Linked DNA regions of Notamacropus eugenii. The protein of the gene in region 1 interacts with the protein of each later gene in a pairwise test. Links are inferred from orthologs where the notes say so. Each region holds a gene or a part of one and is shown on either strand. Other genes may lie near its edges.

Evidence for each region.
Region 2: the proteins of ARRDC3 (region 1) and UBE2E2 interact in binary tests that used the Homo sapiens proteins (3 or more experiments, as listed by UniProt). The two-hybrid records come from large-scale screens. The link is inferred for Notamacropus eugenii from reciprocal best matches to the Homo sapiens genes ARRDC3 and UBE2E2.
Region 3: the proteins of ARRDC3 (region 1) and OTUB2 interact in binary tests that used the Homo sapiens proteins (3 or more experiments, as listed by UniProt). The two-hybrid records come from large-scale screens. The link is inferred for Notamacropus eugenii from reciprocal best matches to the Homo sapiens genes ARRDC3 and OTUB2.

The regions. Positions count from the first base shown.
Region 1 is NC_092875.1:449,016,707-449,020,454, reverse strand, and holds the start of ARRDC3 (arrestin domain-containing protein 3), read right to left. Parts: upstream 2,484-3,748; 5' UTR 2,477-2,483; coding exon 2,197-2,476; intron 1-2,196. UniProt on the Homo sapiens protein: Adapter protein that plays a role in regulating cell-surface expression of adrenergic receptors and probably also other G protein-coupled receptors.
Region 2 is NC_092874.1:31,288,611-31,292,358, forward strand, and holds the start of UBE2E2 (ubiquitin-conjugating enzyme E2 E2), read right to left. Parts: upstream 2,380-3,748; 5' UTR 2,083-2,379; intron 1,609-2,082; exon of another isoform or gene 1,458-1,608; intron 1-1,457.
Region 3 is NC_092878.1:35,625,916-35,629,663, forward strand, and holds the start of OTUB2 (ubiquitin thioesterase OTUB2), read right to left. Parts: upstream 2,384-3,748; 5' UTR 2,196-2,383; coding exon 2,193-2,195; intron 1-2,192. UniProt on the Homo sapiens protein: Hydrolase that can remove conjugated ubiquitin from proteins in vitro and may therefore play an important regulatory role at the level of protein turnover by preventing degradation.

The DNA.
Region 1 (3,748 bases):
GGCCATGGGGGGGGAGGAGACAGAGAAATTAGCATTTTCATTCCACGAAAGGCCAATTAGTATCCTGCGGGGGCCTCCAACAAGGGTCTGGGGGGGGGGTTAATGCAGGGAGTTAGAAGGGCAACGGAGCATAGCGGGGTCCCAAAAGCACTGCGTGGGGCTGCCCAGGGACAAGGATGGGGACCGCAGACAGGCCGACTGACGGGCTGCCCAGGAGGAACCTTTACCGGCGCGCGCCGGAATCCAGGAACTGGAATCCTCAAGCCTCGCCCCCTCCCTCCCTGAATTCCCTCTCCCCACCGGGACAGGCACCCAATCCAATCAGCAGCTGGCATCGCCTTAGCAACAGGCTAACAAACCAAACTCCGCCTATCGCTGCCGGCACGGGGCGTGGCCTCGGTTACCAGGCTAGTTTGAGAGGTCCCTGGTCTAAGTCATTGAAACTATTCCAGGTTAACGTCGGTCCGCGTTTGGTCGGACTGGGGGTGGTGAGTGGGTGGGGGTGGGTGATAACAGGTTCTTGTTAATGAAATATGGCAGACACAAATTAAAGTGTATTCTGCGCTCTCATTTTTTCCCATCATTCTTCCCTACCCCCAGCCATTGCGAGTCTCTCTTAACTACGTCTTTTATATCTACTCAACAATTTACCTACCCCCTTCCCCCCGCCAAAAAAAAAAATGGATAATTTAGGTGATTAGTTGCAAACTCCGGTGGCTACTTTTAAATAAGCACCAGGAATGTGATTAGGCATTTGCTCTTTATAGGGTGGTTCGATGTTTGAGGGCCTTAACAATGAAAGTCTGCACATCATGGGCAGATAGTTTTAAAATGTTTTATTCTATGGAAACGTCATTTTCCCCGTAACACCCTGACATGCTGCATCGTACATGGAAGTGAGATTATCTTTCATTTATGCCTACATTTGACTGAGGCTTGAGATGGCATCATTTAGGTAGGAATATAAATTGCTTAAAAAGAGGGGAAAATAGGCAAAATATCTCAAATTCTTAGTTTTATCTGCAAAATCGTCAACGTCTGAACTAAATACTGCATTAAAAAGGAGAAGGACCAAGAATTACATAACCAGTTTTAACATTATAGTCTGGTGCTAGGAATTAAGTCATCGCCACCACCTGACGCGTGTAACCAATCTGCTGAGAGCAGAACAGGCGCCCCTCCTCACCCCCCCAGTACTGGTCCGAAACAGGATTGAACCGCTTCTAACAAAGGGTGGAAACTTAGAAAAACAAGCTTAGAGTCTGCTATATTTCCACAATGTATCCATTCAAACAATAGATTAGCAATCTCAGGACCCCTTCCCCCTTTGACAGTCTTTATCTTCCTTTTTTAACCAAAATCAGACCTAGCGTGAGAAGTCCTTTACATTTCCTTTTGACTGGCACCGGTTTCATTCAATGTATGTTCCAAAGTTAGAAATGATGCTCTTAAAAGAAAAGAATTGACCCTAAATGGCCTCTTGGTCAAATTTTAAAGCTACCATGATGATAGTCTTTTTTTTTTTCATTTTTTCTAAGAAAAGATAAAAAGGTAGCTTGATGTGAATTTGGAATTGAATAGGAAAGAAAAAAATAACACGTGGGGTGTTTGATAGCATATGTCAAAATAAGCTACGGGAAGCCCTTTTTCAAGGAACAATGATTAATTCTGAAATTATTGCATGTCGATGTTAAAATCTAAAATGCACCTCTAAGCGTTCATTAGAAGATGCTACTCCATGCTTTTATTGCAACTCATTTTGTAGAGCCAAGGTTGCAAAGTAAAAAAAAAAAAAACCCCACAAAAAACCAGTTGAGATTCGACTCCAGTTTCTAGCAATGCGTTTGGAAACCATATTATTAAAATGCTGAAATCTGATGGAAGGAGCTATTAGAAATAAGGTACACATGAATTGCAAGTGCGTATTGCAAGAGGCTTATAGAGATGTTAGAGGTAGTTAGCAAAGTGTTCTTATACAGTCACTTTGCAGATGGCTCGAATGCATTGCTGCTTAACACTCGATAGATGTCAAAAAAAATTCAGATTTTCAAGTCTGCAAAAAAGATTCTCTACAACAAACGTTCAGATTTCAAACTGAAAAGCCAAGAGTTAAATTGCACCAATTCATAGAAAATAAGAGGCAAGTTAAAGAAAATCATATTCCTTTATGACTTCTGAATAATCAAAAAAACTTACCTCTTTCATGCCCAATTAAGATGTCTTTATGGTTGAAATATTCTACTTCTTCAGTGTAATTCTGTGTATAGGCAGTGTTGGATCCAGCATTTCTAGATTCGGTCCAGCGTACTTTCGCATGTCCTCTTGCATGAATTTTTAGAGATTTTACTCTGATTTCCCCAGTAACTTCTAAATTCACTCTTCCTGAGACTGTATCCCCACTAGAATATACAGGGACGTTACTGTCATTAAGACAGTCAAAGCTTATTGTCAAACTCTTAACCTTCCCCAGCACCATGATTATAACAAAATCTATAAAAAAATATAATGTAAGACCAAAAAAAGGTCAAGATCACATATAAAATGCGATCTTCACTAAACACTGATCGATGTCTTTGCCGTGCAAAAGGCTTGCAGGCAGGATCAGTGCCTTCTTTACAAATAGTTCATTGAGGTTTCTTAAAAAGTCACAGCACTGGATGCTGCTGCTTCTCAGATCAGTGGTCTCTGTACAAAGACGGGTGGCTACAGCTTGCCAGCTCACTTTAAAACCAGCTTTGTGAAAAACAACCCCACAGAGCATGCGCACGGCTCTGCTGCTGCCTTTTTCCTCCCCCCTCCCTCGCGTCCCTCTTCCTTTCTGGTACAGTAGGTGTAGAACAGAGGGAAGAAGACTGCTGTAGACGGAGAGCTGAACCTGACTTCTCTTCATTGAGTGTTCCTATTGGTGCGCAGGCTACCGTAAAACTCCAGAAGTGGGATGGGAGGCTTTACTACCGAGCAGATTCGAATAGCCGTGATAGAGCCGTAATGGCAGAGCAGGGGACACGAGGGGACGCAGGCGGAAGGAGGCCAGGGTGGCTGCTGCTGCTGAACCGCTCGCCCAGGGCGTGCACGGAGGGCAGGGCTGACCTGTGCCCACCGGGCACTGCTGGAGAAAGAGGAGAGGGGGAGGGGGAAGGGAGAAACCTGTTGGACGGGCCGGTATAACGTGATCTGATGAATTTCAAGAGAAATTGCAATAAAAAAATGACAACAAACCCAGGCTTTAAATATGTGGTTAACAGACAAATTCAGGGAGGATGGATTGGACACTTTGTATTTGTTGCTGTTCGAGGTAGGGTGAAATTGACTCCATGGAGGTCAAAGGAATCCTGCCTTTCCTTTGAGAATCTTGCCATGGACGAGGAGAGAGGCCAGTTGAATTTAAGCAGAGCTGTGTGCCCTCTCCATCTCTAACCTCCATTGCCATGAAAAACAACCAACGACCAAATAATTAGGGCTGACCACTTCCTTAAAAGAAAGAGTCCTGTTTAAAGGAACCACCTACAAATCGTATTTTAAGGGTTTGACAAGAAGTGCTGAGAGGACTTCAAGAATTGTCTGGTTTAAATAAGAAATGAAACCTTAGAAAACACAAGACCAAGTGTTTACTTAGACATTCTGTTTACAAAAAGAACAAAACACTGTAGGGAGAAATAGTGTGGATGATTTTTTTTTAAATCCTAATTCTGGATTAAATGATATTAAACATAGTTTATTTTAAAAAGCACCAGTGTGGCTTTGGAAA
Region 2 (3,748 bases), on another chromosome or scaffold:
ATGCAGAGCTCCCTTACAATAGCAGTCTGAAACTGGTTACAATTTTCAAAAGGTTATTTTGATTTTATAGCCATCCCACCTTCATTTACCTTCAGAAACAAAATATGATGTAGTATTTCCTAAACAACTCAGAATCATGGTATTTTATATGAAAGTTTGTATATTGACCTTTCCTGAACATATTTACTTTAAGAAACTCACAAACTGTTCAAGTTTACAAAACATTCTGTATTCAACTACAGTCCTGAAATTAGCAAAATATTTCTAATGCAGCCCACATGTTCACTGAATCTCAAGTGCAATGATTCTGGTATAAATATTACTTCTAACTGGAAAAAAAAATCACTTTCACTCCATGAGGCCAGGTTACCATCCAAGAGATAAATGTTCTGACAGTAGCCCACAGTGTGTAATTATAATAACAAGTCATGCCAGCTTTTTTTTTTAACAGGAAAATGCCTAGTTTGTCATTTAATGTCTAGCTGTTTTCTGTTCGTGTTTTTTCCCTTCTGCCCTTTTCAAAACAAAGGGTTAGTCCATTTCTCCATTTCTACTATGTACAAAAGCTATCACAATCCAAATTGAAGCAAAACTGCATTTAATTCCATTCAAATGAAACAGTTACCAAGCACCTTCAAAGAGCCAAGGTCTAGGGATAGAAGACCGAAAGAGGACAGACAGTTCCTTACCCTGGAAGGGCTTACATTCTACCTGCACAAAGAGAAGTAATACAATGTGATTTGAGGAAGGAGAAACACTAAAAGCCATAGGGAAAGTGAGGTACTTGATCTTGCATTTCTTTAGGAAACATAAGAAATTCTATCTATACCAGATAAATGGGAAAAGATAGGATGAGCATAGGAATAAGTGGGGAAATCTACAATTTTATGAAAACTTTCATACATGATGTCCACACATACACACAAAACTGCTAAGAACCAGAAAGTTTCAATACTGTCTAGGTCAAGAAGTATCTTATTATCTCGAAGGTCTTGGGTGAATTACTAGACATTTAGAAATATCCCACTAAAAAAGAAACTAGGCATGCATACGTACTCCCAAAGAAAGCTTAACCTTTGTACATGATGGGAAATAATTTGAGGTTCAGTCTTAGTACTTCTCTTTACACTTTTAAGTAAACATATGATGAGGCACCTTGTTAAAAACAAAAAAACAGCTACACAGAAAGATGAATCCTGGAAACATGCAAATAGGTCCAGCAGAGAGAGTGCCTGGGATCACGTCTCTCTCTCTCCCCTTTCTCTGTGTCTCTTCTATTTGTCTCTCTCTCCCTCTCTCTCTCTCTCTCTCTCTCTCTCTCTCTCTCCCCCTCTCCCTCCCCCCCCTCCCCCCCGCTTGGTCCCGCAAAGAAGCAGTACTCCATCTTCCTTAGCAAAGGTAAGAGGCAAAATGATCACAACAGTTGTGGGGAGGGAGAACCCCCCCACCAAACAAACCCAGGGAATTCCGGTTTCCAAGCAGGCTGTAGAGGAACAAAAATGTGCCGTGTGCCCCTGCTCCAAAGTGTGCCAGGCACCAGGCTGCACAAAAGACCAATCCACCCCCCCGGTCCACACCGACACACACGTACACCAAGCGCCAGGTCTTTTCCTGCCTGGCCAACGGGTGTGTGTTGGGGGGTGGGGGGAAAGGGAGGAGATGGAAGGGAACCAGAGAAGTCACATGTCACGGAGAAGATACAATGTGCAATCATCTGGCAATTAGAGAGAATCTCCCAAGATTAAACTGGACACTTTTCAACCTGACATTTCTGCTGTACTTTCCAAAGACTTAGTTGCCAGAGCCTGGGGGAGGGGAGGGGGGAGGGGGGAGGGGGCAGGGAGGCTGGAGAAGGATGGGTAGAGGAGGACGAGGGCTGGGCAGACGAGGGGGAGGGGAAGGGGTCGGAGGGGGATGGGGGAAAGAAGGGGGGCGGCGGAGGACAAGGGCAGAGGGAGGAGGAAGAAAGTAGGAGAAGATGGAAAAGAGGGGGGGGGAAATGGGGCAGGAGCCGGGAGTGAGGGGGTGGCAGGGGGCGGGCGGGGGAGGGGCGGGGGACCGCGGCCGCCCCCGGCCGGTTACCTGGGCTGGGGAGAGGGGGCGCAGGTCGCCGTCTCGTGCCGCTCCCGGAGGAGAAGGAGGAGGAGGAGGAGGGGGAGGCAGGGGCGTCCGCCGGCCGCGGACTCAGGGACCCCCGGAGCCCCCCGGGGCCCGGCCGCTCTCCTCCCTCGCTCGCTCTAGCCCCGCTCTGGCTCCCGCCGCTCCCGCGTCCTTCCCCTCGGGCTCGGGCTTCGGCTGCTGCCGCCCCGGACTCTGGGAAAAGTGAATCCACCAGCACCTCGCGGACCGCGCCGCCTCCGCCCGCGCCCGCGCCCCCCGCGCCCGCGCCCGCGCCGCCGACGGCTCCGGCTCCCAGCCGTGCGCGCGCCCCACGTCCCCGGAGCGGCTCCCTCCCCGCCCCTCCCTCCCGGAGCCGGGCGCGCGCCCGAGCCAGGGGGCGGGGGCAGCCCCGGGAGGCGCGCGCCCGCCCGCGGGCACGAGGCTCCTCCCTCCCGGCGAGGGGCGGGGGCAGCATGGGGTCGGGGTGGGGGTGGGGGGGAAGAGAAAGCAAGAAAAAGTAAAGTGACAGCTGAGCCCCGCGCGCCGAGGGGGGAGGGGAGGCCGGCTGGGAGGAGCTCGGAGGGGGAGGGGTGGCCGGGGTGGGGGAGGGGAGAGGGGGCGAGGGGACCTTGGCAGGGACGTGGCGGGCGCGCGCGTTAAAGGGAAACACTGACAAGGAGGGGGAGGGGAAAAGAGTCAGAAAAAGGTGGGGGGCGGGGGGATGGGGTGGAGTGGAGAGCTTCTCCCGAGGAGTGGGCAGGACGGAGGTGGGGAGGAGAATGTGGGCCCAGAAAGTCACCCAGGAGCAAGAGAGAACCCCCCCATCTGTCTGTCTGTCCTTCCTCTCCTCTCCCCTCTCTATCACACACACACACACACACACACACACACACACACAGACACGCACACACACACAGACATACACACCCATAGACACACACAGACGTACACACATACACACCCATAGACACACACACACACACACACACACACACACACACACACACACACACACACACACACACACACACACACACACACACACACACACACACACACACACACCCCTTCCCATGCACATCGGGAATTCAAAAAAGTTTAGCCAGGCTGCTGACCTCTGAAACCCACAGGACTGGGGATAGGGGAGGGCATCGGGGCCTCCGGGCTGCGGGACCTCTCTCTGCCCCGGACCGCGCCGCCTCCCCACCCACGACCGAAGCCACCTGGGGGCCCTCCCGCCGGGGAGGATGGGGTCCGGGACTCCACCTTGAATGGGGTGTGCGGGAGTCAGGCCTCTCCAAATCCAGGACCCAGGCAGCTGCCGAGGCTGGGCAGCCGTGGGATCCGGACCAGCTCCGGGAAAGCTGCAGACCTAGTGTAATTATGCCAGACGAAGCCCTCCTGGTGACAAGGGCCAGAGTCCTGGGCGACACAGAGGCCGCAGGCTACAACTAGAGAAATCAGGGTAGGAAAATCCCGGGGGAAAACCACCCAAAGCCTAATTCCACATTCCCCGGATAAGAAAACCCTTTCCCCCAGTGACTCCTTCAAACAGGGCCAATCTCTCAAACCCCCTAAGCCACTGGTAGAATCAGGTGCTGAAAACTGACTTGACCAATAGAAAGAACCTAGACCTGTACATCGCTAC
Region 3 (3,748 bases), on another chromosome or scaffold:
CTGAGCTTGCTTTCTTCAGGTATCTGTCTGTTACTTCCCATCCCCTCTAATGTTTGTTTATGCTGCTTCTTAAGCAAGTCCTTTTCCTGTATTTCTTGCTAACCTCTACTCTTCCTTCCCTTTGTCCTTTCTAATTACCCGCAAAGAGTCTCAGTCAGAGGCAATGACGTGGGATGCTAAAAAGGGGGCTGCTGGAGACTAGATCAGATGGCCTTTTTCAGATGCTAACATTAGGAGAGGTTGCCTGGAAAGGGAAACTAGGAAGACCTGGGATGGAAATCCCCATTTTGATTTATAGTAGCTGTGTGACCCTGGGCAAGTCATTTAGACTCTAGTAGAATCAAACTGAGGTTCCCTACACCAATGAAATTCCTATTCTAGTCCCTATCATTGAGTCCACAGTTCAGAGAAACACTAGATGGTGCTAGCGGTTAAAATAACCTGGTGCCTTCACACACATCTTAACCACCTGGCTTATTTTTTCCGGTTTTCCATTCAGGTGAATGGGTACTCAAAGGGCACCCTTTTGAGTGCCCCTAGCACCCTAAATGCTCAGTATCTCTGTGAGCAAAGGAATGTGTTTAATCCCGTTGAAGATAAGCACCCACCAAGTCTCCTTGAAAACTCCTCAGACAAATACTGCAAGCCCTGGTTAGGACCTGACTGAGTAGTTCACCCCCAGGCAGTGCCACCAGCCCTCTCTGTCCCACAGCTAACAGCTTAGGTGACTGCCTCTTCGGGCACGCGATTAGTCAGATCCACGCTGGGGCAGGGCTTGGAATGTACTGCAGCTTGAACTGTGCCCCCTGACCCCCCTACATTCCTCAGGGCTAGGCTGAAGGTGATCTCATGGGCTGACCCACTCAGAGGTTAGGATTTAGAGTTGGAAGAAAAACCCAGGCCTCCCTCTTTTAGAGATTTTCCTATGGGTAAAGTGACTTGCTCAAAGTCCTACAGTAATATAGTAACCACCAGTCATGAACTTGGTTCTTGTGATTCAAAGTGGGTGCTCTTTTCTTAGTTCCATTTTAGAAACTAAGAGGGGTAGGGTAAAGAGAGTGAACCATCCCCCCCACCTTTAGTCTCTTCATTTTCCCTGCTCACCCCTCCCCCCCAAGCTTGCTCTGGCGTCTCAGAGGTACCTCTTATACTCACACCTCTGCTTATTATTGACCCTGGAAATGTGAGCCCCACCAGGGAAATCCAGTCCCTTCGCAGCCGCAGCCGCAGCCCCCTCGGAGGAGGGGTGGGGAGAAGAGCGGGGCTCAGCACAGATAAAGAAAGGCCGGCTCCAGGACAGGGGTAAACCCTTCCCCAGCCCCTCCACCCCCTCTCTGGCTCCAACGCACCAAACCCTGGAACTTGTCTCTCGATGGGAAGGAGGAAGGGGCTGGCGTCTTGTTCTTGCCCCCAAAGAACGGGTGGGGAAGGTGCCTGAACACGAAATAGAAAAGGCATCACGTCAGACCCAGCTGGGTGGGAGGTCTGGCTTGAGGGTATTTCGTAGGATTTAGAGCTTATGCCTGGCACACAGTAGGCGCTTGCTATGTGCTTAATGAATGGATTCATTCATAGGACTGGATTTGGATCCGGAGAGTTCTACTAGTTCAAGCCCCTCTGGTTTTTTACAGCCGAGGAAACTGAGGCTGGGGGGCCAAATGACTTGCCCAAGGTCATACGGGGGTGGTGGCCATGACTCCAGATGGAGGGTTTTTGCCCCAAAAAGGCTCTCACGGGGTCGGCCAAATTTCCTGGGGGGAGGAGGGGAAGAGGGGGCGGGGCACTTGGGGGAGCTGGCGTGCTACGGGATGTGGGGTTTCCTGGCCTCTCCACCACCACCCCCCCCACACCGCCCCAGACACCTTCCCCCTCACACTCGCTACCCGGCACCCCCATCCAGCCCCTAGCGCCGGAGCCCGGACCGGGCACGGTCTGGGTCCCCTGGACTGCCCCTCCTGGGTCCCAGGGATAGGGTTATGGGTGGGTGGGATATGGGGGATGGGAAGGAAGGCCCTAGGAGCCAAAAGGGATCTCAAACCAGAAGGGCTTGGGGGTAGGGGCGAAGGAGGACCAGGAGTTCTGCAGTCCCCTCTCCACCCCCTCTATTAGGTCTCGCCCCCTTTCCCGAGCGTGCACATGCGCCCCGGGCTTGGGAACCCCATATCCCCTCCACTCCCACCCATTGCACTGACCATAGTGACCGGAGCCTCTGGAAATCGTCCCGCCCCAGGGAGAAGGAGATCCGGCGCGGGAGGGCGCCACAGAACGATATCTCCAGCTCAGATCGGTCGGGGGCCCCCGAGGGGTGCGGAGTGTAGAGCAAAATACCCGACCGCTCACCAAACAAGAGGTGAGATCTTCACTGTGTCCCAGTAAGATACACACCCTGGGCTTGACGCCTAAAGGCTGCAATCAGAAGCCGCGAAGCGTGGACGTCACAGAAAGAGGGCGGGATTTCAGTTGGCTTTAGCCTATGTGTAGGCCTCCAGTAACTGAACGCCACCCTCTTTTAAAAAGACAGAAACCTCAACTACAAGAGTTAAACCTCAAAGGACTGGTCCCATTTTGAAAGGCTGAATGAACTTGTGTGTTTTGAAAAATAAAATGTAAAATGATGTTTCTGCAGTCTATTTTAGATTCCATTCTTTAAGACTTCCTTATCATATGAATTTCTCAGTAAACAACAGGTTTACATAAAAATTGTTTACCCAAGGTCAGAGGACCAGGAACTTGGCTTGCCTACACAGTACTTGGCTCATTGTCTAGCTAGCATCTAGCTTCATGTTATTCATAATAATAGCTTTTCTTCCTGTCCCGTGGAATGGTATTAATCTGCATTCATTCCATAATAAGAGGGGTCATTAGTACAGTCTGTCAAGGTTTGCACAAGGTTTCCAACACATATATTATTCATGTGAAATTGAATAGTGCTACAGGTAGTATTTCCCCCATTTTACAGATTGGGAAACGGAAATTCGGAAATGTTAAGTGACTTGTCTATGTTCATAAAGCGGTATTAGCAACAAACCCAGGTCCTCTTGAGTCTTGAATCAGGACACCATAGAACGTCCACAGACATTTATTTATGTATGTGTACTGAGAGTGCTAATACTTGAACTTGGGTTTCTGGACTCCTAGTTCATTGTCCTTTCCATTTGCAGTATGATTTCCGTTTTTTGGAATAGTGGAAAGTATGAATGTATGAACAGGTCACTGCTTATGCGCAATGACTACAACAAAAAAGAACTGCTGTTTTCATCTCTTAAAAACTTTTTTTTATTGATTATATTTTTTGTTTTTACATCACCTTCCCAAATATATCTTTCCCTTGCTCCCCAAACAGCCATGCTTTGTAACAAATGTAAATGACAAAGATGAAATAGAAATAACCCTATTCAATGACCCTGTGGTAATAAGCAACAGGTGAAAAATAAAGATCTGTGATCATGGAAGGTGTTAACAATTGTGATGAGATAGATTCAGCACAGAGTTCACATTGAAGAGGAATTCGCCTTGGATGTTGAGATCCTCTAGGTTTGTGGATGGCATTGTGCCAGTTGAACCAAACTTTTAAATATTGCAGAAGAATTGAAAGAAATCTATAATCGCTCAAAGTAGTTTTTCGTATTCATCCACATAGGAAAGATCAAGTGTATAAATAAAGTCTAGTGCCCAAATTTCAACCTGCATTTGGTTGAACTCACTAAAGAGCTTATCCAACAGCATGTGAGTCTGGTACGGTAAAGAT